Arabidopsis thaliana: one gene and its partners. The protein of the gene in region 4 interacts with the protein of the main gene of each other region in a pairwise test. Each region holds a gene or a part of one and is shown on either strand. Other genes may lie near its edges.

Region 1 (7,498 bases), on a different chromosome or scaffold from region 4:
ACCAACTCTGGTGCTCCTGTATGGAACAACAACTCCTCCATGACCGTTGGACCCAGAGGTACCTCTTCTTCTCCCATGAATAAGTCTGTTCTCCTCAATGTTATTGTTGCATTTCTGATTGTTTTTTTGGGCAGGTCCTATCCTTCTTGAGGATTACCATCTCGTTGAGAAGCTTGCCAATTTCGACAGGGAACGGATTCCAGAGCGTGTGGTTCATGCCAGAGGAGCCAGTGCTAAAGGTTTCTTTGAGGTCACTCATGATATCTCTAACCTCACTTGTGCTGACTTTCTCCGAGCTCCCGGTGTTCAGACTCCTGTCATTGTCCGGTTCTCCACCGTTATCCATGAGCGTGGAAGTCCCGAGACCTTGAGAGACCCTCGTGGTTTTGCAGTCAAGTTCTACACCAGAGAGGTCAGTTAGTAGTTTGTAACATTTAAGAATGCTAGCAATTACTTATATACTAAGCAAATGATCATTCTTTGTATGCAGGGGAACTTTGATCTTGTTGGAAACAACTTTCCTGTTTTCTTCATCCGCGATGGGATGAAGTTCCCTGACATGGTCCACGCTCTTAAGCCGAACCCAAAATCTCACATCCAAGAGAACTGGAGAATCCTTGACTTCTTCTCCCACCACCCTGAAAGTTTGAACATGTTCACTTTCCTCTTCGATGATATCGGTATCCCACAAGATTACAGGCACATGGATGGTTCAGGTGTCAATACATACATGTTGATCAACAAAGCTGGCAAAGCTCACTACGTGAAGTTCCATTGGAAACCAACTTGTGGAGTCAAGTCTCTTTTGGAAGAAGATGCAATTCGTGTTGGAGGAACCAACCACAGTCATGCGACTCAAGACTTGTATGACTCTATAGCTGCTGGAAACTACCCTGAATGGAAGCTCTTTATCCAAATCATTGATCCTGCTGATGAAGACAAGTTCGACTTTGACCCGCTCGATGTGACCAAGACCTGGCCTGAGGATATCTTGCCTCTTCAACCTGTTGGACGTATGGTGTTGAACAAGAACATTGACAACTTCTTTGCAGAGAATGAGCAACTTGCTTTCTGTCCTGCAATTATTGTCCCAGGGATACATTACTCAGATGATAAGCTGCTTCAAACCCGTGTCTTCTCCTATGCCGATACTCAGAGACACCGTCTTGGACCAAACTACCTTCAGCTGCCAGTCAATGCTCCAAAATGTGCTCACCACAACAACCACCATGAGGGATTCATGAATTTCATGCACAGGGACGAGGAGGTACTTAATAGTACACTATCAATATCTTTATATCGAACTTGAAGCTAGAATACCATAGTCTTACAAGAAGCTGTTGTTACAGGTTAACTACTTCCCGTCGAGGTATGACCAGGTTCGTCATGCTGAGAAGTATCCAACTCCGCCTGCTGTCTGTTCTGGAAAACGTGAGAGGGTCAGTAATCAACTCTGTTTTCCTCTCTGTTTCTGTTTCCCATGGATTGGTTCACTTAAGAACATATGATCTAAAAGTTTCGAAATCTGTTTTTTTTTCAGTGCATTATTGAGAAAGAGAACAACTTCAAGGAGCCTGGAGAGAGATACCGTACCTTTACACCAGAGAGGTACTAATTGTTTTATTTTTGTAATGATGCTTAATGCATAAAAGGAACATCTGTGTTCTTAACGTTTTACGGTATGTTTTCAACTTCAGGCAAGAACGATTCATCCAGAGATGGATTGATGCCCTATCCGACCCACGCATCACGCATGAAATCCGCAGTATCTGGATCTCTTACTGGTCTCAGGTCTGAAATCTTGATCTCTGTTACTGTCATTGTCTCGTTCTTCAAGTCTCAGCAGTTGAAAAGTTGTCAAGTTTTAAACATTTTTGACTGATTGGTTAAAAATGTGTGAAACAGGCTGATAAGTCTTTGGGACAGAAGCTGGCAAGCCGTCTGAACGTGAGACCAAGCATCTAAAACGAGTGAAAGAATTCTTGATTGGCCTTTCTGTGGTTGTTAATTAGCAGAGAAAAGAAAATGGGAAGAGATCAAAGTTGCGATAATACAATCTTCATCATGTGGATCTTCTGTGCTATGTTATAATAGTATCTGTTTAAAGACCAAAAGAACCTTGTGTGTTGTTGTGTCTCTCGTTTATCAGAATAATACATTATACATTGAAGATTTATAATCCGTGGTGTTACTTGATGAAAGCTCCTTCTTCCTTGAAAGATTGTGACATATTCTTATATATTTCTCATATATTAACGAATGTAATCCCGTAAGAGCTGTCGACAAAGACGTGATTTTTAGTCTGCATGTTCTGGACGAAAGGGAATAGCAAAGTATGAAACGAAAAAGACAAGAAAATCCATAAATTCTTATGTGTGGGTATTAGGGAATTTACAATAGTTGTCAATATGTGTTGTAACAGTGGCCACATTTGTGTATAACGTCGTTGTATCAAGTGTGGGGTGTCGAGAGTCTTTAGATTTGGTGTGAATAATCTGACAATTTGGATTTGAACTCTGCTTTGACATCCTGACATTAGAAAATAAACTTGGTTTTGACATTTTGGGGTTTGTATTTGTGACAAGTACTGTTCAAATGATATAAACAAGAATGACTTTTTAGTTAAAATTTGATAATATTACAAAGTATGGTTACATGCAGTTGATCGATAATTCAGAACCAAAACCAAACTTCTCTTAAAAATAAGGAAAATAAAAAGAATCACCAAATGGTTTTCTCCGAGAGGAGTTTCTGAAGCAAGATTACGAGATTTTGTTCGTACAGGTGACAATAATACGAGTGATATGGACCCAAAAAAACCTCTCTTTCTTCTATAAGAACTACAAAGATTTCAACTTGTCTCATTTACCTGAAGAAGCTTTTACTTTCTCAGTAGAGGCTAAAACCAAAGAAAGGGCTGATGACAATTCCCAATCCAAGACCAATAGCCACAAGTGACGAAACCCAAGTTAGTTTCTCTGTGATCCTTGGAACTTTCTCTTTCAAAGCCTCACTGCAAGACCCAATAAACGCTGTGTAACTTCCCATCGCTATAACTGTCCCAACCAGAAACATTATCAAAAACGCAGACCCTGCTAACCGTGATGGGAGAGCTAATGCAGGCAAAACAATCATCAGAGCATCCGGTTGCAACCCGTGAACCACTCCAGTTGCAAATGTAGCAAACCCGATCTTCTTCTTTTTGGGCAGTGGTAAGGCTTCTTTCTCTGTTGATACCATGCTGATGTCGGTTTCTAAAGCGACACAAGGTTCTGGAATCTCAGAAGCTTCCTTGATTCCCATAGCACCGATAATAACAAGAGTCAATCCCACAATTCTTGTACCCCAAGTTTGTAATACTTCAATGTGAAGCCGGTCTTTAAGTAGCAGAAACAGTAAACCAAAGATGACTTGACCAGCATCATGCCCACATCCCCAGAGAGCTCCAACAGCAGCACTTTCCATTTTGCTGCGTCCGATCGAAAGCGGAGCTAAAGCAGCGAGGTGATCAGGTCCTGAGAGCGTGTGCAAGCAACCAGCAAGGAAACCGGTCCACGCACTTGTTAGCCAACCGGATTTAGCTGCAGTTTGAAAGCTAGCGAAAGCAGGTGGTGCAAGAAGCGGGTTAAGCAAAAGCACAGCTACTGCAGAGATTAGTATAACGGTTCCAGTAGATAACGTCTGCAAAGAAACACAGATATATATTGATCTGGTAAACATCCATGAGACTACATAAGAGGACAGCGAACAAGCACAATTCCAACACACAGACTAATCAAACAAAAAAGAAACTAGATTGATTTGAGTTCTATTGTTCCAACAAGTGTGGAGCTTGAAATTAGGGACTATCAATATCTAACATGAAAAAGCAAGTTCAATGTCAACAATATCGAATTAGCTCCCGAATCCTAAAACAGAGAGAACATGATTCCATGATTCTAGAGACTGATGGATAGTAACATATGTAACCCTACAAAATTGGAACTTTTTGTAATTCTTGGAATCTTCTTCTCGAGCAAACTATATACAAACTTTTCATATGTTTCCTGAATAAAATCAAACCCCATTAAAACCCATAAACCCCAAATCTAATGTAAGCCAAGCTCGTCCCCAAAACTATACGAAAATGTGGAAATTGAAACATTTAGTAAGCATCGACGTAAGCATCCAGAGATTTCTAATTACCACTGAACAAAACGTGAAATTGAATACCTTTCGCTGCTCAGAAGCCGACGTCGCGATCCGTGTGAGAAATCCGGGATTAGGTTTCGATTCATCCGATTTGGGAGACCCATTGAAGGAATTGTTAGTTGTGTTAGATCCTATAGGCGTATACAGTGACGGAATCTGGGAACTGTTGCAGGAAATTGAGCTGACTCGGCGTGACTCGGGCCGGTGAGTCGAGACAAAGCTCAGACCCGATGAGCGGAGACGGGGAAGGAAAGGAGAAGTCCGTGAAGGGAATTTGGAAGGAGAAATTGAGGAAGAAGAAGAAGATGGTTGAAGAAGCCTTTCCATGGCGTCTCCTTCTCTCTCGGCGAGGCAATGAGTCTCGAAACTGAGATAGAAGAGAGTACGTGCGATGCTCTGTTTAAAGGATATACGATTTTTGAAAAAAAGGAATTTTTATATAAATAAGAATAATAATAATACTGTTAACGAATTAATATTTCTGTTTTTTTTTTTTATCTACTATATTTCAAAATTGAAATCACAGTGAAAAAATTAAGATAAATCTTTAAATTATTGCACTATACCACCTTAAAAATTGTTGAGTTTTACTATTAAATAAAAATGCTTAATTTCGATTTTTCAAGGGTTTAGGTAAAAGTTGGATTCGACAACTGCGTATAAAAAGCCGACTTGCCTAATATTCTTACGTTAATTAGCAATGAGACAAAAGATGTGAACTTTTAAAACATGCCATAGTTAGATCGAGCTTTTAATAAAAGACGTATGTTTATCCTATGATCGAACGTATAAAAGTAAACTCCAAAAACCATGTTATAGCCTAATCCATCAAATGTATAAAATATGCATAATAGTTGGTCAGGCCAATATGTGAAATACATGAGGATGTTTGTTGGAAAATGTCAAAATTTTCGCCTACCAAAAGGAAAAGTAAAGCACATAAATATGGAATCCACGACGCATCCACTTTCTTTCTCTTCCTTGCTATTATTTCCTCATCTGCTTATAAACTTTACCTACCTCAATTCCTAATTCCTAATTGCCCAATTTACAATCTCGATATCGAAATTTGTTTTTTAATATGGTGCAGTAAGTTAATAATAATCGAAATGTTTTATGAGATTACAAATGCATCTACGTGGCTTGATATGAAATACGTAAGCAAAAAACTCTTAAACATAACATTTTGGAGTTATTGCAAAACAATCCCAATAATTTGTATCTTCCCAAGATATCCTCATTTCTTTCGCATAAAATATGGAAAACTACGAATGCGACCAGTGGTGCACATGTAATAAGTTTAAAAATTATTATCCTTTTAAGAAGCAAAACAAACAACATGTGTATAAAGAAGAGTTCAACAACTAAATACCTCTACCATCTACAAATCAAACGAAGGTTAAAACAAAAACGATAATCGAATTAAATTACATAGTTAAAGTTGTTAAAATATCATGATATTGATATCCCTAATCGAGACATGGTATTGAATTTTGATATTGACATCTTGTGATTAAAAATCCAATAATCTTCAGTTCATAACAAAAAAAAAATCCTTTGTCGAATCATAGTAACATATAAAAAAAATATTGAAGTCGTTTGTTACTTTGTTGATTCCGTCTCTATTCGTCCATTAGCAAATTGAGTAATGATGATGTTTATGTACTTTTAATACCTGACGTATTAGTTCCAAACTTCACGTCGTGTTAAATAAAATTAGTTGGCAATCCAGTGAGTCCCACTTTCAATTTGGGCCGAGCACTTGGGGGGTAAAATGGGCCGGGCCATGTGTTTATACGTAATCCACATAATTAATTACCCACTTCGGAAATCAAAACCTATAGCAACATTAGGCGGTTTGGGTTTGCAATTTCTAGCTTTTCAACAAAGAGTCTAAAATCACTAAGGTCTTAAGGCTAATTGGGTCTTGAAGACTCAAAGCCGTAAATAAACACACACTGACACACAAAATCTCTACTAGTAGAGCTATATGACACGAAACACCCTACAATGCTAATCACCTCATCCATAGCACATAGGACTGACTGTTTATTTGTGTTTACGTTAAAAGTTTAAATCATTCTATACATAGAGATAATAATGTTTGCGTAAAAAAGTTTGTAATACTAATAGATGAAATAAATCCTATGAACAAGACAATAATCTTAAATTGTCCCAAATGAAACTTAAATAAGATTTAATTAATCTTTATGCGTTGCCTTTTTCACTATTTTCTACAATCTTGTTTATTGATAGTAGTACGATCTAATTACATAATAAGGTTATACTTATTGTTTATTTATAGGTATTAGGGAGTATCTAGAAAACCTAGGTAGCACAGATCTGTCGAAACAGAGATCGAGAATCCTTAATGAAGGAAGAAGAAAGGCCCAAGTGTTCAATGAAACATGTTTCTGTTTAGGAAAGTGCGAGAACTCAAATCCTATGGCAGGCCAAACTCTGATTCTCTTTCAATTTCTATTTTTTTAATGTGGAATTATTACTTACTATTGTGCTCTCATGTCACTGTACTATATTGATTGTTGAGCAACCCAATAATACTTACAGCTTCCTCCAATACGCGTGTCTACGGCCTCTACTACCACCTCTTTTCACCATCTTCCTACATCAAAACAAACCCATTAATATATAATGCTTCCTTTCTTTTTTTTTACTTTTTCATTGCTTTCTTTTTTTTGTTCAAAAGAATATAACTTTTTTTGTTTTGCTTTCTATGTAAATTAAAAGACATATGTTTAAATTTGATTTAATTGATTTTTTTATAAATGAAATTTTTTAAAAGATATGTTTAAATTGGATTTCATATTAGTTTAGAATTATTATTCTTTCGGTCAAAAGTTTCTAGTTTTTTGCTTATTAGGAAGTGTTTAATATAGGAAAATCTTATACATATAATCATTAGGAAAATGTATATTAAGATATTTAATACTAATGTGTTTAAAAATCCTAAGAAGTTAATTATCATTGAAATAGAAAGAATGGCATTCAAACTTTATATCCGAAAATTCATTAGATAGAAGGAAAATATGAATTATGTTCATCAAATCCAGCTGGGTTCCTTTTTTTTCTCCATTGAATGGAAAAAGAACCAAAAAACAAAAAGGGAAAATGAAAACCCTAATCAGAATTTACTTCTTGAGATAACCTTTTACTATTTCTAACCTTTCCCTATTCTCACTTTCCTTTCCTCCCCTATTTTTACCAAATTACCCTGCCACGTCATCTACCCGGAGTAAAAACTCTCCGTTCACCGGAACACAAAGGCAAGCATTTTTCCGGTGAGAGA
Region 2 (8,644 bases), on a different chromosome or scaffold from region 4:
TCTATATATCAGATATTTATAGTTTAGGTTTCAACAAAACAACCAAAAGAAGAACAATAAAAACTGATTTAAAAATGATTTTATATGGATATTTTGTTATTATCGAAAAAATCTGAAAAAAACTAAACTGAAACCAAACCTAATCTTTAACTAGACTGCCCATCCCTAAATCAAACTACAGTGATCAAACAAAACAATTAAACACAGCGGGAAGGAGATTTTAGACACTTTTGTGGTCTATATTCATTTCCTTCTTCACATATTGTAGTAACACCCTTTTCGATGTTTAGATGATTTTAGCAAGGACAATTCTCAAAATACCACATTTAAGTTTTTGTTTTTTAAAATACCACTTAAATATAAGTTTTTAGTAATACCATTGAATGTTTTAGGTTTCAAAAGTACAACAAAACTAAAATTTAACTTTCAAGATTCAAAACTAATCCTTGAAGCCTAAACTAAGCATGCCACTTCGAATTAACCAAACCGAACCAATCAGATATTTTGGTTATTATATCGGTTAATTGCATTTTAAAATTCTTCCGAAATTAATTTCTATGGTTAGTGTAAAAAAAATCAAACTAAACCGAAATTAACCATAAATTATTTTGCGTTCTAAATCACAATTTTATGAAACTAATAGTAGTAGTTATTGCAACAAAACTTACAAGTATGGTATTTTAAAGAATTTATCTTTTACCAATGGCTTTCAAGTTTCAACTACATATGTCGTCAACCCATAAGGGTTGATTCCATTATGTTCATTGTAGTAAGACGATGATCATGAATGCCAAAGGGATATACAACTATATCTAACAAAAATATTTACCTTTTTGATCCTGAGCTTGAACAAGGTGAACAATAGCCAAAGTTGATATAAATGCGAGTAACAAAACCCCATGGGGACTCTCCATATCCCCACTGTGTATAGACATCATGTATTTTTTCTTGATTTAAAGCAGAACTTGCATTGACATTATAAGAGAAGACTTTTCAGAGTAAAGCCTGAAAATTACGTGAGATCATGACTAATTAGTAGGATACAAAGAGAAATTCAATGATTAAATACGTATCTGGTGGGCAATAGGATATATTATTTTTGGGTTATACGTCATATTATATTCAAGTTAGGTAGTTTATCAAAGTAGTATCATATAAACCTAGTAGAATGAAATTTATTAATTTAAGCCTAAGAGAAATATTCCGTTCATATACTGTCAATTGGAAATTAATAATTTTCTTATCAGTTAAACTGGAACTTAATAATATCGTATCATATCATTTCATCAATATTATATGTAAAATTTGGTGTTGGCTTTTGACATTGATATACATGTCGTACACAATTTTGGTGTTGGCATTTTGTCACCGGAATGTTGGTGTAGCAATTGGTTTGACCGGTTGGAAAGTACCGGAGAGTATTGATCGATTTTCTTACGACGTCCGTAATATTAATGGACTAGCCGGTGGCGACGAAGCCATTATCTCCGACCCATGTTACGTTGTTGGAGTCCACGTAAAGATCCCGTTGATCCACAGTCAATGATTATACCTAATGAAGTAATGATAGTGGGAAATTAATAACCGATCAGTAATTTAAAAGGAAGATTAATTATGATAACACGAAGATTAGTGGATGGAGAGATTTGCATTTGTTAATTTACTTTAGCATGTGCAACCGAAGATAGTTATAGTGTTTGCCCCAACAAATGACTATAAGATCATTCACATTTGTAGTTATACTTTTCTAAAGTAACTTTCAACATAAAGACCATGATGGTTAATTACACGAATTTTTCTGACTATATCAAGAAATTATTGATCTTGATAATTACAATATTATTGGATCGAAGACTATGATAATTAACGAGTTCATGTAACTTGTAGCACTCTTCCAAAACTAAAAATTTGGATAAGATTTTATATCAGTTGATTCTTCTTTTTTTTTTCTTGTGGGTAGTGTAAAAGAAAAGAGCTATATTGTTTTTTTTTGTAGGAAGAAAACAGCGAGTTTCGAATCAATATCAATCTCTATAATGTCTCCTATCATGTACTATTCTAATATTCTCTTGTAAATAATTAGAATTAGGTCCATCTTGTGTATATAATATATACGTCTGATGTCTACTGAAGACTATATCAGAGCAATAACATATTTTCCAATTCTAAATTTACTGTCACATTATCATGCATCACGTTTTCAAATTATTCTTTCCACTCTTGGTCGGATACAGATAGAAATACAATAGAACTTTTTTACAAACTAAAAGAATCATAAATGTTTGGAAAGAAAAAAACATGAAGAATAATAACACATGGATTGAGCTCTTCAATAACTAGTGTCCATGTCAATGATGTCCATCTTCAACAACATATGAATCAGTCATATCGCTGGCAAATTGCTGTCCAACTAGAGGCGACATCCCTGTGCCTGTTCCATGCTCTTGAAAAATAAATTCAAATTATTACGTACTTGTCATTTATATTCGAATAATTAACATATAGTAATTTATATTTCAATTAACTTAACCATACCTGTGGACGTATTTGGTACAGTACTGTTCGACTGTGACTTAGCATTTTGACGCTTTTTCCAAATAGCTGCAAACGCTGACGCGAGAACTGCAAAGGCGGAGGCGAACGTAACGCCAAGAATGAGTGGTAATTTGTTATTCTTCTTCCCTCCACTGCTTTTTGCCCCACCTAAAGTCGTCATATAAAGGCGTCACGACATGCACAAAAGAAAAACTTTTCTAAACCTTATCTAAAATTTGAAAATTAATTGAGATATATCTAAATTTAGTAATTTATTAAATGTGCTGAGATAAAGTGGCAAAGAATGATCCAATCAAATGATTAAATTTCATATCCTCACTGTTAAATTTTTATGTATATGAACTTAAAAAAAAAAAAAAAAAATCAGTATAATCTCTGCTAGAAAATAATAGATACCATTTACTAAAATAAATTAACAGAAAATATATATATTTAATAATGTATATAAATAAATAGTGTTGTTAAAGAGTACTAAATATCTATGTTATCCATGTAGGTTAGATATATATCCAATATCTTTAGACTTTAGATACATAGTGTACCATTTTTTATTTTCCGAAAATTCTATTTGGTGAGATAATTTTCAATTTGTGATAACTAAAAATCATTAAAAAAAAATTAAAAAACACCAAAGTTAAATAACTTAATAACAATAAAGAGAAATGTATATAGAGATTTGAGTAAAAACCTTTTCCCAAATTTTTTGCTTGTTTCGCTCCTCCAGAACCTTCATTCATTACATTATAAAATGAAAATAATTAGTATCATCCAAAGCATTTCATACTTTAGATTTAATCAAGTTGATTTTTTCTTTCTTTGCATTGAGATCATTCCTTCCTAATTATTGTCCACTAAAATCAACATCAATTTTTCATGTTCGAGTTTGGTTATTTATTTATAACTTGACAAATTATCGTTATTTAATTACTTGAATTAACTATTTATAGTTTTTATGTATTGGTCCAATAATAAATTAACTAACCTTCCGAATCATCCGTACTACCGCCGCCTTGGTCTCCACCGCCGCCTCCACTGTCTGGACTGGTATTACTTATCGAGTACAGCTCCAATCCGTTGATGAGGGGTGGCAAAACGGAGTCATCCGTTGACTGAAAGACTATCTGGGACGCCGATGTGGCCACTACATCTCTCAAAATGAATTGAGTTGCTTTCCCAAAAACCGGTACGATGGGACGCGAACCCACTTGAGTGTTGTCCAAGAAAACGTTGAACGATCGTCTCTGGGTTCGACCTAGACTTTGAGGCTCTGAGAAGTAAAGAACCAAGTATACTGGTACTCCGGTTAGGGGTAGAGTCTGGTCTGAGAGTACTAAGCCGACTCCTGATAATGCCTTTGACATAACAATCTCTGGTGGCTTGTTCGACGCCCCGGTGATGTCTATTGATGGGGCTGAGGTCGTTAGATCGGTCAGTGTGGAGTCTTGGGATCCTAACGCTAACCATACCCTACCGTAGGGGTCTAACGGGTAGCTAAATATATATCAAGAAACCAACAATATGAAAATATATTAATTACGCAATAATATCACATTGAAAGAAAGTTGTCCTTTCTAATTGATACAATTCTATAAATGCAAATTGACGTTATACAAGCTTTTATATTTGAATTAATAAATCTTGTCTAGACGTATAGGGTTAAAACTACATGCCTAATGAAATATTAGCAATGGATTGCAGATAATTTAAAGCTTTAAAGAAAATTAAAGTCAACGAAAAGACATCATATAAAACTTTTAATACTATGATTATTAGATGCATATATTGATTAAAAAATTCTAGTAAAAGCTTTGTGTATCAGTATACCTTATAAGCTCTTTGGCACCGTATGCAATTCTGTCGTGGAGAATGAGACCTTCGTTAGGACCAAGATCGTCGTACATGCCAGTGTCCAAACTATAAACTTCAATGGACGATATAAATGGGTTGTCGGACGGAGACGTACGTAAGAGACAGACGCTGATATTCTTATTCTCCGGAACATATATCACCTCCGAGAAATAGAACGTTTCTTCATCATTTAGCAACGACTCGGTAATTACAATAGAATCACGGTGTTTCCCGTCATAAATCACATCAAAAGATGGCGGCGAGAACTTCGCGTCGTAGTTCTCATAGTAAAACTTCGTCCTCACGAGGGTTTTCTGGCCTTTTGTCACCGGAATGTTGGTGTAGCAGTTGGTTTGACCAGTTGGGAAGTACCGGAGAGTGTTGATTGGCTTTTTGACAACGTCCGGAATCTTCATGGGCTCGCCGTTGGTGACGAAGCCTTTATCTCCGACCCATGTTACATTGTTGGAGTCCACGTAAGATCCGGTTGATCCACAGTCGATGCTTATACCTAACGATAGGCCAAACCAAATAAAAAAAAACGTTTAGTAGACTTAAAATAAAATTTCATTGGGTCATCAAATTAAGAAAAATATTAATGTTTGTAACGTACTTTCTCCTAATGTAACGGTTAGGGCTGAGAGAGAGAAGAGAGTGATGACATAAAGAAGCGCCTCCATCATCAACGAGCTAAATTTAACTTACTTACATGCACACATACGTAATATATAGAAGCAAAAAAGAAAAACAAAATACGCAATAGATAGATGATATAATTAAAGTATATGTTCATATTGTTGACTTGACTTATTGAGATTGCACAGCTCATATAATATTTAGTTGACTTGACTTATTGAGATTCCACAGCTCATATTATATGCATCAGCGTGCATATATCTCGATTTTGGTTTTAGATCATTGTTAATTTCAACAGATTAACCAACTAATCCGTCACATTTAATTGGTTATATATAACAAATTGTTCCCGACCTAATGCTAGCTACGTGAATCTAAAATATTTTGTGAGTACGTACGTATGCCATGTTAGCCTAGTTTATGTAGTAATTTAATAATCAGTTTAGACAATTGTGAATTCATTAAATATAAATATATGAAAATATACGGCACTCATGGATATAGATCCTACTATATGAGTCTAAATCACATCTACCTATCTTTCCTTTTTAGTGGTGTTTACCGTGATTCAATAATTATTGTGTTAAAAATTACTAAAAAAAATATACCTTGTTAAAATATATTCATGCATAAGAATATCATTATAAAAATTCATTGATAAAATAAGTGAAAAATACCTTATATACACAATTACACATTATGTCAGCTTTGTTGTTTGATGTTATATTTCTAAATATTATTGGCCAATTAATATCTTCTAATTAAAATGGTCGATTATTTGAAGGGAACTTGATTATTTAAGAAGAAGAATTGGCACTTGATAGGTTTGTCCAACTCATCATTTGGTTGACTTAGCATAAAGTTGACATATCGAAGTCAATGGCTTTGTTTGTATTCTTATATAGCACATAGACTTTAGAGTAAACGGCTCACGTTCATCCTCTTTTATTTTATAGGTACATTGTATTAGTATAACATACACATGTGTATATTTTAATGAAGTAAACAAAAAAATTCAACATAGTGCGAACAAAGTGGTTGAATAATTTCATGTGTTCCGCCGATCTCTTCGTATGATCAACGTCAGTATTATTCATAGGTTGGAACTGGTGTAGGGCTCAATTGTAAAATTTAAAAATAAACGAGAGGAAGCAAGTGGGATCCAAAGGATGTCTCTCATCCTAATAATCTATCTTTGACATTTGGCCGGCCTCTTGTTAATGCAGAACCAGTTTGTGTTTAAGAATCCGAACTATCTGTTTTATCCACACCAAATGAGACCAGTCCACACGAGGTCTTGTGTTTCTAATATAATGCCAAATTGCACTAGCCTTCTTCGTACTAGTGTTTTACGGTTGATTTTCCAGTGAATATTCATCGTTGGTTAGGTAGTTGTTGCAACAAAACCGGCCAGCCAATTTTCAGTGACTTGAGATTTTGGCTGACTATCATAACGTACGTTGAAATGTATTTTTGATTGTGGTATTTTTGAATTCCTAGCATACCCGGCCCATTATGTTTGTACGTATAGATTTCTCTAGGAATACCAATCGTTTGTCAACGCATGAGTATAGGAAAATTCAGTCAACTATTGATTATTGCATATGATGTTTGTTATATGATGATTGAAAGATCTGACGAGGATGATGGAAGATGAAAGATGCCAAATTTATCATTTAAATTGGAAACAACAAAATTTATATAGCTATATATGTGATAACACAGTTTTTTTCTTGGGATAGTATTCACAAGAAAATTTCACAACGACAAATATTTTGATATTTTGAATAACTTTCCAGGTCGCCCGCGACTAGGCTGATCCATGTTGATGATGATCAACCTGATGAACAACATAAGAATCATTTACGCCAATTTTGTTTGGTCCGCGACTAGGCTGGTCCCTTGTTCGAAACTTAAAACCAAATTAAGTTAGTAGATGCACTTGTTAATGGGCTTCATTTTTGGTTTTGCTTTAGGCAGCTAAATATAACGAGTCGGCCCTGCCTGACTGACTAGGTCAATTGCTCGAATTAAATTTTACAGATTAAAAACAAATATTTTAGGAAGGGTACAAGTGATTTCTAAATTGGATGAGATTTGATTATTTAGGAAGAACAATTCACACTTGAGTTTGTTCCAACTTATTTGATTGAGTGAATTTGATCTAACTTTTTTTGGGGTTGACTCCATGTGGAATGGACATTTTTTAGAGTTAACTGTTTTTGTGTTTGTTATGGGCCCATTTATAGGAATTTGAGAGTAAACGGCTCACGTTTGTTCATTTTGTTTTTGTCTTTTTGACATCACATTCGTCCAAATTTTCAATTGATACGTTAATATATGTCTGTACCATACCAATATAGTCATGATTCATGTATATTCAACGATGTGTGGTTGGAAATTCCATTTGTTCAGCCGATTTGCCCGCAAATCAGCAAAGTCCTAATCATAGGTTGAAATTAGTGTAGGGTTCGGAGGTCGACTAAGAGATACAAAGCTTATGTATTATTGATAGAATGTTTTTCTCAAGTTTTCTTCCTTGTTCTATGATTATTTCTATTAATAATTTTTTCAAGAAAGAGTAACCATGATAAGTGATTTCATGATAGAACCATTTTTTGGCCTTTGATATCGGTGAATTATTCATATAATCTCAACCAAGAGTTTGTAATATTGTTAAGGGGTGAAATTGGGCTTCGCCAATTTCGGCCCAACCCAGTGACTAAAACCCGGGCAGATTCGGCAGGAAAGAATTCGCCTAACTAGTTTAACACCCGACCCGCAAAGATAAACGTTTGGCTGCGCAAAATTTATTTTTGGAAAATCACGTTGTGTGCCTTACAATACGGACGAGTATAAATAAAGAATGGAAAGTTTTGGGAAGGACAACTTTTTGGCACTTGGAGAAAGAACAAGGCAAGTCAACTCGTCAATCGGCAAGTCAGCTCGTCAATCGACAAGTCAGCCCGTCAAGACAGATTAAGCGATCGCGCTCCCAGCTCGTAATTCCTCTTCGCTGAACGCCTCAGCTCGTCAAAATCATCCAAATCCCTCAGTCACGTCATCTCGTTTCGCTTCTCACTTTTCAGCCCGTCGTCATTCAACTTCAAGCCCAGCTCGCGGTTTAGAGACGGATTCTTCACCTTCCCTAGAGATTCACTCGTACTTGTTTAATTCGTGCATTAACAAATATGATAGCCGATAGAATAGTTACCAAAACTTATGCATTTGAGTCATGAAATGAATAACTTTTCTATGTTGGGTTAAAAAGAGAAACCAGTCAAAGCTGCCGACACAAAATGAAAAATATCCAACATATAAAGTAGAAATCTTTCGTTTTTAACTTTCAGCTTTAGATGTGAAGAAGACTAAGATAAAACACTTTACATAGACGTGGGCTAACAATTAGGCTATGGGCTTCCACCAATCTTGGTTACTTATTTAATCCTATATATCATCATTTCCCAAACTTCACTATTGCATCTATCAATTTTTGCCAGCCACTAAAACAAAATTAATATATTTGGTTGCGGTGTCTTGTTAGGCAATAATTCTATTTAAGAATAATGTCACAAGGTGCATTAGTATGATCTTTCATTTCCAA
Region 3 (7,767 bases), on a different chromosome or scaffold from region 4:
GAAGCTCTACCAGAAGAGATTGGAGACTTGCACTTTATTCGACAACTTGACTTGAGAAACTGCAAATCTCTGAAGGCTCTGCCTAAAACAATCGGAAAGATGGACACACTCTATAGCTTAAACCTTGTAGGCTCTAACATTGAGGAACTGCCGGAAGAATTTGGCAAGCTGGAAAACCTAGTTGAACTGCGAATGAACAACTGTAAAATGCTCAAACGGCTTCCTAAATCGTTTGGAGACTTGAAATCTCTTCACCGTCTGTACATGCAGGAAACTTTGGTCGCGGAGTTGCCAGAAAGTTTCGGAAACCTCTCAAATTTAATGGTACTGGAAATGCTGAAGAAGCCTCTTTTTAGAATTTCTGAGAGTAATGTTCCAGGTACAAGCGAAGAACCTCGTTTTGTAGAAGTACCAAACTCTTTCTCAAAGCTCTTGAAGCTTGAGGAACTAGATGCTTGCAGCTGGAGAATATCGGGTAAAATCCCTGATGATCTTGAGAAGCTTTCGTGTTTGATGAAACTGAATCTGGGGAATAATTATTTTCATAGTCTTCCGTCTAGCCTCGTAAAGTTATCAAATCTCCAAGAACTTTCATTACGTGACTGCCGAGAGCTCAAGCGTCTTCCCCCTCTTCCATGTAAACTGGAGCAGCTAAACCTAGCAAACTGTTTCTCATTGGAGAGTGTATCCGACCTTTCAGAGTTAACGATCTTGACGGATCTCAATCTCACAAACTGTGCGAAAGTGGTTGATATTCCAGGCCTAGAGCACTTGACGGCTCTGAAAAGATTATACATGACCGGATGTAACTCCAACTACTCCCTTGCAGTAAAGAAAAGACTTTCCAAGGTGATTCCAAAAACTCCACAGAATCTCATCATGGCCTATTTAAAAAACTTTCTTACACCACTTTTGATTTGTTACTGCAGGCTTCTTTGAAGATGATGCGGAATCTGAGCTTGCCTGGAAACAGGGTCCCGGACTGGTTCTCGCAAGGCCCTGTCACATTCTCAGCTCAACCGAACAGAGAGCTCAGAGGTGTAATCATTGCTGTTGTTGTGGCTCTTAATGATGAAACCGAAGATGACGACTATCAGCTGCCTGATGTGATGGAGGTTCAAGCCCAAATTCATAAACTTGATCATCACAAATGCACCAACACATTGCATCTCTCCGGAGTGCCTAGAACAAATAACGATCAGCTTCACATCTGCCGATACTCAGCTTTTCACCCACTGGTTACGATGTTGAAAGACGGGTACACCATACAGGTGATCAAACGAAACCCACCAATCAAACAAGGCGTTGAGCTAAAGATGCATGGCATTCATCTCGTTTACGAGGGGGATGATGATTTGGAAGGCAGAGAAAATACATTACCCGAGGCTCAACAAACCGTTTCTCAGAAACTTGCCAATTTTTTCAGCTCGTTTGAAGAAGGTGAAGCCAGCGCAAAAGGTGATTCCACTGTTGCATGATCTGCTACCACAGAGAAGTTAAGAAACTGCACAAAAACATTCTTTCCATACAAGCTGTTTGTTGATCATATAGCGTGTGTGCTTCTGTAAGTTTTTTCTTTCTAGGATGTTTAGTTGTTTTTTTACAGTTTATACCGTTGCTTCTATAATCAATAAAAACCCAAAAAGAGGAGACTCTTGTTTCCCACAATTCTGTGCAATTTTGTAGAATGTTCACAAAATTTGTGAAGACTTGGTTAACAAATCCAAAGACTTCTATGATCAAGGTATTTTATCTGCTAAAGACCTAAAGTGTGTTTGTTCTATTTCTCATTCTCCAACAAGTTTTCATATATTTACTGTTTCCATTGTAGCAGATGAAGCTTTACATAAAACCGAGAGTCCAAGTGTCCTGCTCGATACAATAAGTGTATGCTGAATTGACATTTAAGTCACTCGATACAAAAAATGACTTTCACAACTTGTAACAGTAGTAACAAAGAAGAAAGTAACAAATTGTGAAAGGAAATGTTGACAAGACGATAGCAAGCATTATTGAGAAGTGGGGTCGAAGTTCATGTGTCTATGGCCAAGCGAGACGCAGACATCTCTACATCTGCCTCCAACATATCGGTTTCTTTTAACTCTATTGTCTTTATTATAAGACCAAACCCCACATCTCATCCAAAAGATATCACAACACACCAAATTACGCATTGACCTTTTTGACTATCAAAGACATTACTTCAAAAGATAAAATCAACAGACAAATAAACATTCTTCAAATGATTCAACTCCAAGGCATAGAGCCGTTACGAACCTAAGAAATTAAACCAAATGCCAAACTATAGGAGAGCTTGAAATAAGACTGAAATCTTCTCATTTCATCAGAAGAGGTTACATTCCAAAGAGTACATTAATGACCCAAACGAATGTACAGAATTATACGGTAGGAGATACAAGACAAACACGAGCACTGACACGGTTAAAAACTAACAACACTGAGGGAAGGAACAAAGAATGAGATATAAAGTAAAAAAAAAAAAGCTTCTGATACAAAAGTAGATTTCTCATACCTTCTTAGCGCTTAAGCTGCCAAAAAAGACTACTTTCTGGTAAAGATACTCAAGCTTCTTGTTTGTTGAAGACCAGAGGAAATTCATCGTAATGCTCCGAAACACCGTGTTTATCTGCCATGTTCTTCAAAGATTCATACACCTGAATCATCGTTGGCCTTTCCTTAGGCCTGGACACAACACAGCTACATGCGATTTTCAGGAACTGCAATATCTCCTCATCGTGTCCTTTATCACATATGCTTCTATCAATAGCGTCTTTGCTTCTACCAGTACCCAAATACTGACTCACCCAGTCAACTAAACTCCCTTTAAACCCTTCCACACCGTTAATAACAGACAAAGGCTTTTGCCCTGTAACCAATTCAAGAAGCACAATCCCAAACCCATACACATCTCCTTTCAAAGACGCAACCATGGTGCTCGAATACTCAGGCGCTACATAACCTAACTCCCCCAAATCCCCATTATTGAACGAGCTATCGTTCGAATCACGAGATCCAACTAGCTTTGCCAATCCGTAATCTGTTATCCGAGCATCAAAATCATCATCAAGAAGTATAACATTGGAGCTAATAAACTGATGCAAATACGGCGGTTGGCATCCATGATGCAACCAAGCTAACCCTTTAGCAGCTCCCACACCAATCGCACGCCGAGTCGGCCAATCCAAAACAGCATCACACAATCCACCATTGTGCAACTGAGAAAACAACGTACCATTAACCATATGCTTATACACCAACAGTCTCTCATCTTCCACAACACAATACCCTAAAAGCGGCACCAAATTCGGATGTCTAAGCTCTCCTAACTTATTCATCTCCGACCTAAACTGTTTCTCACCAAACCCACAAGCACTAAGCCTCTTCACCGCAAGTGCAGACCCATCAGGTAAATCCGCTTTATACGAAACCCCAGTCCTCGACGAAACATCGATATTCCCTGAACTAAAATTGTTCGTAGCAGCCATTAAATCACCCAATTTAATCTTCACAATAGGTTTCTGAAACAAAGTCACCTGAACAAGCTTATGTGACCTCAACAAACCAATCCAATCACTATCATCCTTAGACTTCCCAGCACCATAACCTTTCTTCTTCCTACTACCTTCTCTAATAAAGAACCACCAGAATATAACTAAACCAACGCACAAAGATCCAACAGCTCCAAGAACTCCAGCAACTATAATAATACTCAGATTTCTCCCATTCAACGCTCCACATCGCGATAAAGGCTTCCCACAAAGTCCGTTATTCCCGCTAAAATCGTCTCCTCCGAACCGAGCCAGCTCGGACGGAATCGTACCGGAGAGATCATTCCCTGCTAGAGAAAGACGTCGAAGGCGATCTAATCGACTCAACTGAGAAGGAATCGAACCAGAAAGCTTATTATCACTCAGAATCAAAGCGTTTAAGAACTTACACTCAACGATCTGAGTCGGAATCGAACCACCAAGCTTATTCCCAGACAGATCTAACGTAACGAGATAAGGAAGCCACGAACAGATTTGAGAAGGAATCGAACCAGAGAGATCGTTTCCAGAGAGATCCAGAGATTGTAAACTACGACAAAGCTTAAGAGACTCAGGAATCTCACCGGCGAGCTGCATCGATTGAAGCTGAAGAGAAATAATCCGATTCTCTTTCTCGTTCCAGCAGGAAACACCAGTGAGCTTACAAATCGAAGAAGCTGAAGAGTTTGGGAAAGACCAGGAACTGAGTCTAGAAGAAGGATCGATGAGTGAGTTTTTCAAACCTTGGAGACAGAGAACGTCGTCTTCAGCTGAAGAAGAAGAACAGAGAAACGAGCTTATGAAGAGAAGCCATAAGAGTGTGATGAAGATCTTCTTCATGATTAAGGATGGATCTAGTTCTTCTTCTTAGGTTAAAAAGCAGAGAGAGCTTCTATGGCGGAAGAAGAATGGTCATTGACTGTGTGATACTGTTGAGAAAAGATGAGAAACTTTTTTTTTTTGTTGCTCTTTTGACTCTTTTTTTTTTTTAGTAACTTAGTGGAAATTAGTATTTATCTTTTGTTTGGGGAAAAAGAATCTTCTTACAAAACGACACCGTTGGAAAAGCAAGTCTGAGAGAAGCAGAGGATATATACAAGTCAGTCTAGTCTACTACTACATGTTACAATTGAAAGGGAAAGCTAATTTTTCAAAAAGGATAACACTTTTGGGTGAAGATTTTTTTTTCATTTCTTGTATTGATAGGTTTGCCTAAAATCAGACATGGAATTTTAGAACCATGATTCTTTAACTCTAACGTATCAATTTAATCAAAATTAAATTCTTCCTCTATTGATATTGATATAATGTGACTTAAATGGGATTCTTTTTGTATGAAAGGTTGGTTGGCTGGTAATAAACTAATAATAATAAGTCACAAGAGTTTTGAACTTGTTATAAAGAAAAAGACAAAAATATTTTATTTTTTTAAAACAGAAGACATTATTACTAGAACTGAGGAAACAAAAAAAGACATTACTTGAACAAAAATGTGTTTTGGCCCATGGGCTTTCACAGCATTAACTTACATTTCAGCTCATGGGTTTCATGACTTTAGGCCCATAATCTTCATTGCCTCGAGACCAACCGTTTGTAATATTTAAACATTTCATCTGAGATTCTAACTCGAAACCTAAGTACTACTACTACAAATTTCGTTCTTGAAATCTTTCACTTCCATTCATATAAGAACAAGAAAGAAAAACAAAAAAAAAGGGATTTAGCAGTGTTACCGAAATTTACATGTGGTAAACTCTAAGAAACAAAAGATATTATAAGCCAACTTTATCCCCCACCAATCAACAAAACCAAAAAAAAAATGTAAGTAACAAAAGAAAGAAATATTGATGTAGATTTTGTATGTATCCTTGTCAAATGTAAATAAAATGTACACCTGCTGCTGAATCAGAAACCAACTAAAAGTCATTCTTGTTGTTGCCTCTGCCACGGCAGATAACCAGTCACTTGATCAGCAAAATTCGACATAACCAAATCCTTCAATCCAGTGTCCCACACTTCACAGAACCGTCGTTTCCAATCCGGCGGCTCGATTGCCTCTGTCCCGAGCCCTGGAGCTCGATCTTTAGACCCTTGATTCTGATTCTCTTGCCAGTCAACAACATAAGTAGCCACTCTTCTGTAAAACTTAGCTTTGAAAGTGTCCCAAACTTGGTACTTGTAATGGTTCACTACCGCAACACTCTCCACCAAACTCATATGCCCCACTCCTTCTTTCAACTGAAAATGATGTACTTCATTGAGCAATGAGCTTGTGAGCAACTCAGGGCGGATTATCGACTTGTGTCTCTCGGGGTTCGCTTGTCTACAAGTGTAACCTACGGTCACGCCTTGTGATGGAACCGAGGTCAGACCGGATGGACCGTAGCTATGACAGTCCGTTCTGATCTCTCCAACCAAATCCCAAGAAGTGTAGTTCGATACAAGCGACTTCAAAGCGTTTTTGCTCGGTAAGCCTTGAGAGCGATGCGTAGGGAAGTAGTAGAACTCGTCGACATCGAAGAATCCAACCCAATTGCATTCTTCTTTCGCTCTAACCGCACAATGCGAAAAACCGGCTTCTTGAGTCTTGATCCAAGGCCAAACATGTCGACTCACATTGTAATTCTCCGAACTAAGCAACTCAATCTCCTCTTGTATACCATCATCGCTGTTGTTATCATATATAAACCAACGTTCGACACCGAGCCACGAGTGATACATGATCCATTCACGCAAGAACGGAGCTTGGTTCCATAACATTGTACAAACACAAAGCTCATGCTTAACTCCACTCTTCTTCTCCTTCTTCTCAATCGAATCAGAACCGTAGATTCTCGCAACCGAAGGCAGAGCAGGGGTAGTTCTTCCTCTAGGATCAATGTGAATTACACTCACTCGAAACATCATCTCTGGATTTAGCTTCAAACTCTCAGGCAAACCACACCTCACAACTTCTTGCGCAGCAGCAATAGCTTGAGTCACCTCTTTCTCCTCCGAATTCTCAATCTCAAATTGACACTTATAGTAAGAAGGATCTGATTCCTTGTGAGGTCTTCGAGTCAATCCTTTAACAAACACAACCACCGTGTCGCCGTCAATCACCGCCTCATAACCAACCTTTTCCCAATTATGAACACGACGGCTCTGTTTCTTCATCTTCTTCTTCACCAAATCTCCACGGAATTGCAAATCAACAGATGAAGAATAGTTCAAAGGAGCATTAGGACATCGAACAATCGACCTAAACTCATCGAATTCATCACTAGAAATCGAGGGCAACACCAAAGTCTCTTCCTTTACTCCACGATAAACACAAACTAGGTTTTTTTCACCTTTCCCAATTCCGTGCGAAAGAATCAGCAATAAATGGTCAGGGAATTGAACTCTGTCTTCAACACTCAACGGAGGGAATCTACCACGGTGAAACGAATCCATGGATGATGATAAAACGGAGAGAGTAGGAACACGAAGAGACGGTCTCAGAGAATCGGAACGAACAGAGAGTGTGGAGATTCGGTCGGAAGATAAGAAGAAGAGCAAGACGAAGAAACAACAAAAGCATAAGATTAGATACCTTTGAGACAAGAACTGTACTTTTACTTGTTGTTTGTTTCGTACTTTCCTCTTCTTCCCATTCTCATACTCCGTCATCTTCAAGAAAAATTGAAACTTTTTTCTTCTTCTGGTTTGTTAGAAACAGAGCAAAAGGGTGGTTGCTTAATAAACTGATCTAGAGAAGGTTTTTACTCGTGAAGAAGAGATCTGGTTTTTGCGCCGGCCGACAAAAGTACCTTCTTCTTGTTCCTTTTCTTTAAGAGAGATTAAAGAAAGGAAATATATAAAGGAATTTAATTTGTGAAATATTGTTTGATTTTGATTTGTTAAGAAAAAGGAAATAATCGTTGTGATAAAGAAGGAAAGAAACAAGGAAGACGCGTTTTTTCTTTACGAGTCGTTCTCGTAATCTTGTAAGCCACCGAAGATTAGTAGCACTAATCATTGTCTTACTTTTGGCTTAATTAAAAGTGTGATTAATTAAGGAGATTAAAGTGATTTTTATATGGCTTTTATGTTTTGTTTTGGTTTTAATAATTAAGACGAGAAGAGGCCACTAGTTTTGCGACTTGTGTCAAAAGATGCGACGATGAGGTGGACCATATTCTCGTCTTTTGTTTTTTCATTTTTAATGTTTTGGGATTGAAGAAAAAGGAGGACCGAT
Region 4 (8,311 bases):
GTTTCCTTAATAATTTTCATGGTCAATATATATGCATAAGTGGAGTAAGGATGGTTAGAAGTGTTTTGGAGCCACCCTTCTCAAGTTTCACTGTTTTTAGCTACATGCATTTACGTATTTCATTCTCGTAGGTGACTGATTATACCAGGGATTTAGAAGAAATGCAAAATCTCTCAAGGGAAGAATACCTTGCATCTTTACGTAGGTGCGTATGTATTTAAAAGCACTATAGTTTTCTTTTAAGAACCATTTATTGCTGATACTCTTTAGATATCCCTTTGGCAGAAAAAGCAGCGGTTTCTCTAGGGGAATAGCGAAATATCGTGGACTTCAAAGGTAAAACTGGACCAGCAATTGAGTTCTCATTTCTCTGTTTTGTCTGAAAAACTATGGAATCAAGAGTGATCATCTTTGTGTAATTGCCTATAAGGAAGATTCTTTAGTGACACATTGTGGATCATCACGGTTTTGATTAATTGACATATGGTGGATATGCTACTAGTTAATTTCATAGAAAAGTCTATATGCTACTCTTAAGAATAGGGATATGGCAAAACTATCTTCACTGTTTTGGCTGTAGCCCTCTTTAGTTTTGTCTTTTTAACCTTCTTTCTCACAATTAACATTCATACCTGATATGCATTTCTGCTGTCTTTCCATCTATTCTGCACTTCCCGACCAGCCGATGGGACGCATCAGCCAGTCGTATGCCTGGACCTGAATACTTCAGTAACATTCATTACGGTGAGTTGCTAACAATATTGACCTAATTGAAACAAATGTTTGCTTGCATCAGACTATTCAAAACTCATTGTCATTATTAACAGGGGCAGGTGATGATCGTGGAACAGAAGGTGACTTTCTAGGTAGCTTTTGTCTGGAAAGAAAGATTGATCTAACAGGATACATAAAGTGGTGGGGAGCCAACAAGAACCGTCAACCAGAATCTTCATCAAAAGCATCAGAGGATGCAAACGTCGAAGATGCTGGTACTGAGCTTAAAACACTGGAACACACATCCCATGCAACAGAACCATACAAGGCGCCAAACCTTGGCGTCCTTTGTGGAACTCAGAGAAAAGAAAAAGAAATATCATCACCATCAAGCTCTTCTGCTTTAAGCATCTTGTCTCAGTCGCCTGCCTTCAAGAGCCTAGAGGAGAAAGTGTTGAAGATCCAAGAAAGCTGCAATAATGAAAACGATGAGAATGCAAACCGTAACATCATCAATATGGAGAAGAATAACGGCAAGGCAATAGAGAAACCAGTTGTGAGTCATGGAGTTGCTTTAGGCGGTGCTGCTGCTTTGTCTCTTCAGAAAAGCATGTACCCACTTACCTCTCTCTTAACGGCTCCATTGCTCACCAACTACAATACATTGGATCCTCTTGCAGACCCTATTCTCTGGACACCATTTCTTCCTTCAGGATCCTCTCTTACTTCAGAGGTTCGTAGTCATATATCTATAGAACCAGAGACTTCAGAGGTTACTACAACACATCTTCCTTATGTCATTTTCTTTGGCTCTCTTTCTTCTGCAGGTGACAAAGACAGAGACCAGCTGTTCCACGTACAGCTACCTCCCACAAGAGAAATGAGCCGTTCCCTTTAGACTTTATGTATGTCAGATTCTCCTTTTTTGAGATGAATTCGTCGACTTGACATCTCTTTGTCTCTTTTATGGAGAAAAAGTTGGGAAAAGTGTGACAATGGTCTGAAGCAGGAATGTACAGGTTTTGTTAGTGGTTGTGTTTTTTTTTTTCCAGTGTGGAATATAGAATCATGATATTTTGTGTAAAACAGAAAAAAGTTATCATTATAGTATAGAAGTTTGCTCTTAATATTTCTGCACAAGGTATAATATAATTTGATTGTGACCGATCTAATTATTCATCTCTACCAAATGTTACGACTATGTATTATCACATCATCTGCACAAGACTTATCTAGCTTTGATACAACTAACTGAATCCTATTACCCAGACAGGGACTGAGTATATAATAGTTCCAATCGCAAAAGAAACCACAATGGTAAAAGATGCATACGCATAGGCTCTCCATGGGTAATCACTTTCTCTCATCGCATTGAACTCAGCCATGAAGGTCGAAACTGTGCTCAGACATCCCAACAGACCAAACTGTATGCTCGAAGCAACCGTGTTACATGTTCTCGTGTTCACCTGTTTCCCAAAATATATACAATGAATGTTATCTTTTGTGATTTGATCTGTTTGGTAGAGAGAGGAGGTGAGGAAGTTTATACCGATTTCTTCAAGGTAGCCAATGCTGCCATAACGCAAGCTGCAACTACATTTGCAATGAGGGTGCCAAATGGGACCCATCTCAAATTTTGACTATCCTTTCCCAGCCCACGTCCATTGAGTCGGGCTAAGAACCATCTGAGCCAGACACCAGGGGCTGCAACTAAGCAACCAAACCATAGCTGAGCCTCGCTTGTTCCTTTGTCAAACTCTTTCACAAGCAGTATGGAACTGGCAGTGAGTAAAGCCACAAGCAACAGAAGCATCAGGGTCAGAGACACAATATGGCTCTGGAAGGTGTTAACCTTAAGACAATGGAATTTATCCTCAGAAGAAGCTCTTCTATGAAGAAGCCATTTAAACCCTTTGGCCGTTTCCACTCCCAGAATTATGGAGTATGACGTGAGAAACAATCCTGTAAAGTCGTTTATGCTGTAAGCAAGTATGTTTCATCCAATTTAGTAGGTGATTGGAGATTGAGAAGGGAATTTTTTGTTTTTACCTAATAAAAAGCCAAGCACAGCATACACCCATTGACCATCAGCACTAAGATCCAGCATTTTCTGGTTCCAACCGCTGAATGTTGTCAGACTCCCCAAATAACCAGTCGATAATCCTATCGCCACAAATTCAGAAACTCTTGCTATATCTGCTTTGAATACAACGCCAAACCAACCCATCAAGAATGATCCTACCTATAAGGAAGCATTTGGAGAATTTTTATTAAGAAAGATAGGTTTGTAATTAAGTTTGAGATGAGTGCATTGCGACTTTCACCATGTTGGAGGGAAGATCAAGGTACAAGATGCTCCCATCACTTGTTACTCGAGCACCAGTTGGCCCAAACAATTTTTGCAGCAAATATCTCGTAATGGCCTGTATATTTGGAGTCAACGAGTTGATTATAATGATTTAAACAAAAACAAAGCACAACAGAGAGACAGACAGAAAATGGAAAATAAGCATTTTACCCCAAAAATCCCAAAAACAGCCAAATGAATTAGGCATGATATGTACTCCAAGGACTTTGGTAACACTCGCTCTTCCTCCTTTCCCTGTGCAACCCACGAGCTACAATAGATCAAAACATTGGACAAAGAAACCAATACTAACAATGATGTGACTATGCAAAGTTAGAGGTAGTCTCTACGGAGTTGTTTATTTCAGGTGACAAGAGTGACTTGGTCGGTAAAGGAGATGCTGTTATGTCCTCAGGCAAAGTTTTATTTACGGAAGCAGTGTTGAAAGCTCGAAGGTCATGTAATATATCTTGTTCTTGACGAGAAGTATCATGAGTCCCTTGTTCTATAAAATCATCAGCAGACAAACGGCTGCTTCTACCAGCACTATGCCTTCTCCGAAGTGAGCGGTCCCCAATATCCCCTGCCTCTGAGACACTCTCACTATCGACGTCATTGTCAATTAGGTGAGGCAAACTACGTGATAAGCTTAAAGAAGAGGCTACACTGCTCTCCCGACTAAAAGACTTGGCTTGATAAGGTTCTATGCTGCTTTGACCCGTATCCATAGGCGTTGTAGCCAAAGCATAAGATTCTTAAATGATGCTCCACCTGCACATATTTTAAGCCACAGCCACACACACAAGAAAGAAGACATGAAGGAATGTGCAAAAAGAGACAAGAGATAATCGAACAATGTGGCAAGTAAACATTCGAGAAATTCCTAATGCTTATTAAAGACACTGTTTGAAAAGTTTAGCTGTAATCTTCAAAACCATAGCTTTTTGATACTAAGACAACAAATTCAAAAAAGTTCACATATTCATGATAGATTATGACTTTAGTTTATTACTTTCTACAGAAGCAGAATAAGAATGACCTGGTGAAGGGATCCAAAAACAGTTTTCAAGATTTTGTCCTCCACTATCCCTTAAAACAAAAGATAAAAATTTACTTGCGTTTTAGTTAGTGGAAATCGAAAAAAAGGTAGACTAAAATAATCACTTGTTCACCAATAGAGAAAAAAACGAAAATCTTAAAAAGTTGTACAGGTGGCAAAGACGAATGAATACTTTTCTTAGATTGGGACCTGTTTTGGGTTTGGATTTTGAGCTAGACATTTAAAATTCAGCAGCTTTACCTAATGGCGAATTCAATCTTAATCGTGAAGAATCAAATTTGATCCCAAAAGTCGCCGGCGGAGAAATCGAGCTAACAGGAGACAATCGAAAACCATCAATTTATTCTCTGGTTTATTGGATGTTAAGGGAAGTAGGTTCGATTGTAGAAGATGGACGAACAACAAAGCAGAAGACGATTGTAACTTTGTTTAGTCGAACACACATGTACAGACAAGTAGAGTTGGTTTAGTCGGGAAAATCGCACCCTAAAAAAAACAAAAACAATACATAAGTTTTAAAATATTTCTAAATTATGGGCCACAAAGAGCTGGCCCAGTAGCCCCGCTTCTCATAACAGATTTTTTTTGTCTCTGGCGGATAACAAAAATATCCTTGGAAACGACAGCCCAAACAAAATCATCTTTAACATATATTTAGATGTTACTTGAAATTTGATCATATATTTTGAAAAAATCCAGATAAATTATTAAAAGTTAATGGTATTAAAAAAAAAGTTTCATTGTTTTTAGTTGAAGAAAATAGTGTCATTTTGATTCTACATTTGATATAATTTTACTAAAAATTGTTTTTTTTCTGTGTTAAAAAAAAACAGCATTTTTGAGGATTGAATATGAAGGTGGATTTCTTTAAAGTTGTGTCACAACTGATAAAAATAAAAATAAGAATCAAGTTGGGGAGTGGCAATGAAAGGAATAATTCTAATGGCGGCTTTTATTGGCAACCTTCGGAAAAATAATAAAAACATTCGTATACTTTGCCGTCAAACTTAGGAACGTCGTCGTTTTCGTCGTAATATAATTGGCGTAACGCAACTCTAAAACGAATCAGGATGTTCCACGTACACTACACTAGGCTTTTAATGTGGAGCCCGTGAGAGAGCCACCCCTACTTGGCATTGACGCAAAGATTTATATTTGGGTCAACATCAGCAACTGTACTTAAGTACTTATATATATTAATTATAAGATTATCTTCTTCTTTTTTTTTGGTTTAATATAAGATTACCTTCTTAATATCACGACAACTAATCTAATCTTCTCCTTATTTTTTGGGTTTTTTGATAGAAGAAGAAAGGTCCCGTAAATAAATGAAACAGTTTCGGAATTCTTCTATTTTTGTCGACCACTTGTGTTATCCGCAGCTAGTTGCAAAATTCTTTTGTTTGATTGTATAATCAAATTGATTAATGAATCAAATAAATTGGCAGGAAAAAAAAAAAAAAAAAAAAGGAAGCACAAATGTCAGTGAGGTGAGCCCAAGTCTTCGCCACCTCTCTCTGCTTTCTTAGTTTGCTACTTTGCTTTGCCTTTTCCCAAAGAAGAACCATAAAAGTATGATTTCTTATTGAAGCCAAGACTAGAATCTATCGTCTAGGGTTCTTTCTGGGTTCCAAGGAAAAATGGGTTCATCGAAGAGGCAATTCAAGGCCATGCTCCGCAAGAATTGGCTCCTCAAAACTCGTCATCCCTTCGTTACTTCAGCTGAGGTTTCTCTCTTTTTCTTTGCTCCTCAAAACTATGTCGTTTTCATGCTTATTCACTGCTCGTCTTAATGGGTCTTCTTCTCCTTGATGCTGAATGCAATTTTTGTTTTTAAAATTTCGAATTGTTGATCAAATTTTGCTTCTTTCTCTTATTCATTGGCAGATTTTGCTTCCGACTATTGTAATGTTGCTGTTGATAGCCGTCAGGACACGGGTTGACACCACAATTCACCCGGCTCACTCGTAAGATATCAGTTTTTTACACTCGTCACTAGCCTCTCTCTCTCTCGTACTAAAATTGGATTTTGATTTCGTTTTCTGCATTTTGTTCTGTTGATCATGAAAGGAACATAGACAAAGATACAGTCGTCGAAGTGGGCAAAGGCAACTCTCCTAGTTTTCCAGAAGTTTTGAAGCTTTTGCTTGCTGAGGGGGATTTTTTAGCTTTTGCACCTGACACTGATGAAACTAATAACATGATCGACATTTTGTCTCTTAAGTTTCCGGAACTGCGGGTAATCATCATCACGTCTTCATCTTATGCTGCATTCTAGATCGATAGTTACTCTTCATATGTCACACGTTTAATCGACCCTGTGTCTTCTGTTTGCAGCTAGTTACTAAAATTTTTAAAGATGACATAGAGCTGGAAACTTATATAACATCTGCGCATTATGGTGTCTGTAGCGAAGTGAGGTATGTTTTGTTCTTTTTTCCAGCTAATAAGAAGGCAATTTCATCCCTAGTTTCTTGTCGCCTTCAAACTTTTTCTTGTACATCTCTCTGTTTATTCTGTGAATTGGTTAGCATTTCTTGAATAATGGCAGTATCTCCTTGGGTTAGTTGTTACAAATTTGCTACAACTTTGATGATTATACTACCTGAACAAGACTGGTATCTTTTCTATGTTGGAAACAGGGAGATATTTTGGCTTCACATGCCCAGTGTGTCTGCATTTTATCTTCACTAGTACTATCATCAAAGTTATAACTAGCTGTCTATGCTTTTTCGTTTTTTTTTTTTTTTTAAATGTTAAAACTGATTAAGCCTCATCATGTTTGCTTAGGAATTGTTCGAATCCAAAAATAAAAGGAGCAGTGGTATTCCATGAACAAGGACCTCATTTGTTTGATTATAGCATCCGCTTGAACCACACATGGGCATTCGCAGGATTCCCAAATGTCAAGTCGATCATGGACACAAATGGACCTTATATCAATGATCTCGAAATGGGGATTAATACCATACCAACAATGCAATACAGCTTTAGCGGATTCTTGACTGTATGGCCATTACTTATTTTCATTGAAAGTTTGTCTAATCTGTGCCCATGATTTTTCTATCATCTTTGTAGCTCTCCCCATAAAGCTACTAGGCAGTACAGTAGTCAGATAATTCTTGTCTGTAGACTATATAATCTATGCTATTATAGGGAAATATAGGATTAGTCAAAGAAATTCCAAATCAGGTGTTAGATTATCACACACTAAAGTAGTAGTTACCATTTAGTAAACTAAATCAGTTCATCTGATTTGAATAGAAATTCTTGAAGTAGGGGGTTTCATCTTGGTTTCGCCCAGTTTTGATTGGTCTTATACCCTTTTGCAGCTCCAGCAGGTGGTAGACTCTTTCATTATATTTGCTTCTCAGCAAAATAACGACTTGCCATTATCACATTCAAATCTTAGTTCAGCTCTACGCTTTGAGCTGCCATGGACACTGTTTAGCCCCTCAGTGATAAGAATGGTTCCATTTCCAACCCGTGAATACACTGATGATGAGTTTCAATCTATTGTCAAAAGCGTAATGGGATTGTTGTATGTATCACCTGCTCTATATTTTCTTTCCTTACATGTATGCATGGTATTTGAGTGTTTATGGTTTGGATGATTATATAATTGTTGAGCAGGTACCTTCTGGGATTTCTGTTTCCAATCTCCCGGCTTATCAGCTACTCTGTCTTTGAGAAGGTTGGTTTGGGTTTATGTATTTTGCTTACTTTGGAACACAGCTGATATGTATCTTTCGTTTACCAATAGTTGCTTTTCTATCACTTACGCTTTTTTTTCTGACCTTGCAGGAACAGAAAATAAGAGAAGGACTATACATGATGGGCTTGAAGGATGAGATCTTTCATTTGTCGTGGTTTATCACATATGCATTGCAGGCAAGTTTCTGCTTGAAATTTGACTTGTGAACTTTTGTTTGCCTCTCTTCCCGTGGCTATGGTAGCATTTTCTGTTGTCAACAATATTGACTTCAGCTGGAAGAAGCAGACGCTTTACTTCTTTTGATATATCTAATAACTTGTAGTTCTTGGTATATTTTGTCTTTTCTAACTAGACTTTGTTCTGCAGTTTGCATTGTGCTCTGGGATTATTACAGCTTGTACGATGGGAAGTCTCTTTAAGTATAGTGATAAGACCTTAGTCTTCACATACTTCTTTTTATTTGGGCTCAGCGCAA

The links.
Region 1: the proteins of AT2G41705 (region 4) and AT4G35080 interact in a protein complementation assay, tested with the Arabidopsis thaliana proteins (one large-scale study listed by BioGRID).
Region 2: the proteins of AT2G41705 (region 4) and AT3G46280 interact in a protein complementation assay, tested with the Arabidopsis thaliana proteins (one large-scale study listed by BioGRID).
Region 3: the proteins of AT2G41705 (region 4) and AT1G27190 interact in a protein complementation assay, tested with the Arabidopsis thaliana proteins (one large-scale study listed by BioGRID).

The regions. Positions count from the first base shown.
Region 1 is NC_003075.7:16,695,404-16,702,901, reverse strand, and holds AT4G35080 (high-affinity nickel-transport family protein), read right to left. Parts: upstream 4,569-7,498; 5' UTR 4,519-4,568; coding exon 4,213-4,518; intron 4,047-4,212; coding exon 3,975-4,046; intron 3,682-3,974; coding exon 2,890-3,681; 3' UTR 2,581-2,889; downstream 1-2,580. Other genes in the region: CAT2 (catalase 2), read left to right, coding at 1-58, 135-412, 491-1,267, 1,350-1,439, 1,541-1,608, 1,698-1,791, 1,906-1,965. UniProt on the Arabidopsis thaliana protein: Together with CGF2, essential protein which supports female gametogenesis and embryogenesis, probably by securing local energy supply.
Region 2 is NC_003074.8:17,003,324-17,011,967, forward strand, and holds AT3G46280 (kinase-like protein), read right to left. Parts: upstream 5,206-8,644; 5' UTR 5,088-5,205; coding exon 5,018-5,087; intron 4,916-5,017; coding exon 4,381-4,915; intron 4,048-4,380; coding exon 3,539-4,047; intron 3,284-3,538; coding exon 3,245-3,283; intron 2,704-3,244; coding exon 2,536-2,703; intron 2,444-2,535; coding exon 2,349-2,443; 3' UTR 2,100-2,348; downstream 1-2,099. Other genes in the region: AT3G46270 (receptor protein kinase-like protein), read right to left, coding at 830-938.
Region 3 is NC_003070.9:9,444,341-9,452,107, forward strand, and holds AT1G27190 (Leucine-rich repeat protein kinase family protein), read right to left. Parts: upstream 4,707-7,767; 5' UTR 4,389-4,706; coding exon 2,583-4,388; 3' UTR 2,257-2,582; downstream 1-2,256. Other genes in the region: AT1G27180 (disease resistance protein (TIR-NBS-LRR class)), read left to right, coding at 1-849, 930-1,478; AT1G27200 (glycosyltransferase family protein (DUF23)), read right to left, coding at 5,472-7,199.
Region 4 is NC_003071.7:17,393,561-17,401,871, reverse strand, and holds AT2G41705 (camphor resistance CrcB family protein), read right to left. Parts: upstream 4,603-8,311; 5' UTR 4,362-4,602; exon of another isoform or gene 3,833-4,361; 5' UTR 3,790-3,832; coding exon 3,412-3,789; intron 3,317-3,411; coding exon 3,233-3,316; intron 3,138-3,232; coding exon 3,039-3,137; intron 2,957-3,038; coding exon 2,764-2,956; intron 2,677-2,763; coding exon 2,264-2,676; intron 2,181-2,263; coding exon 1,962-2,180; 3' UTR 1,791-1,961; downstream 1-1,790. Other genes in the region: AT2G41710 (Integrase-type DNA-binding superfamily protein), read left to right, coding at 132-205, 286-336, 683-744, 828-1,612; ABCA1 (ATP-binding cassette A1), read left to right, coding at 5,762-5,848, 6,009-6,088, 6,192-6,360, 6,459-6,541, 6,912-7,128, 7,454-7,662, 7,755-7,815, 7,926-8,012 and 1 more.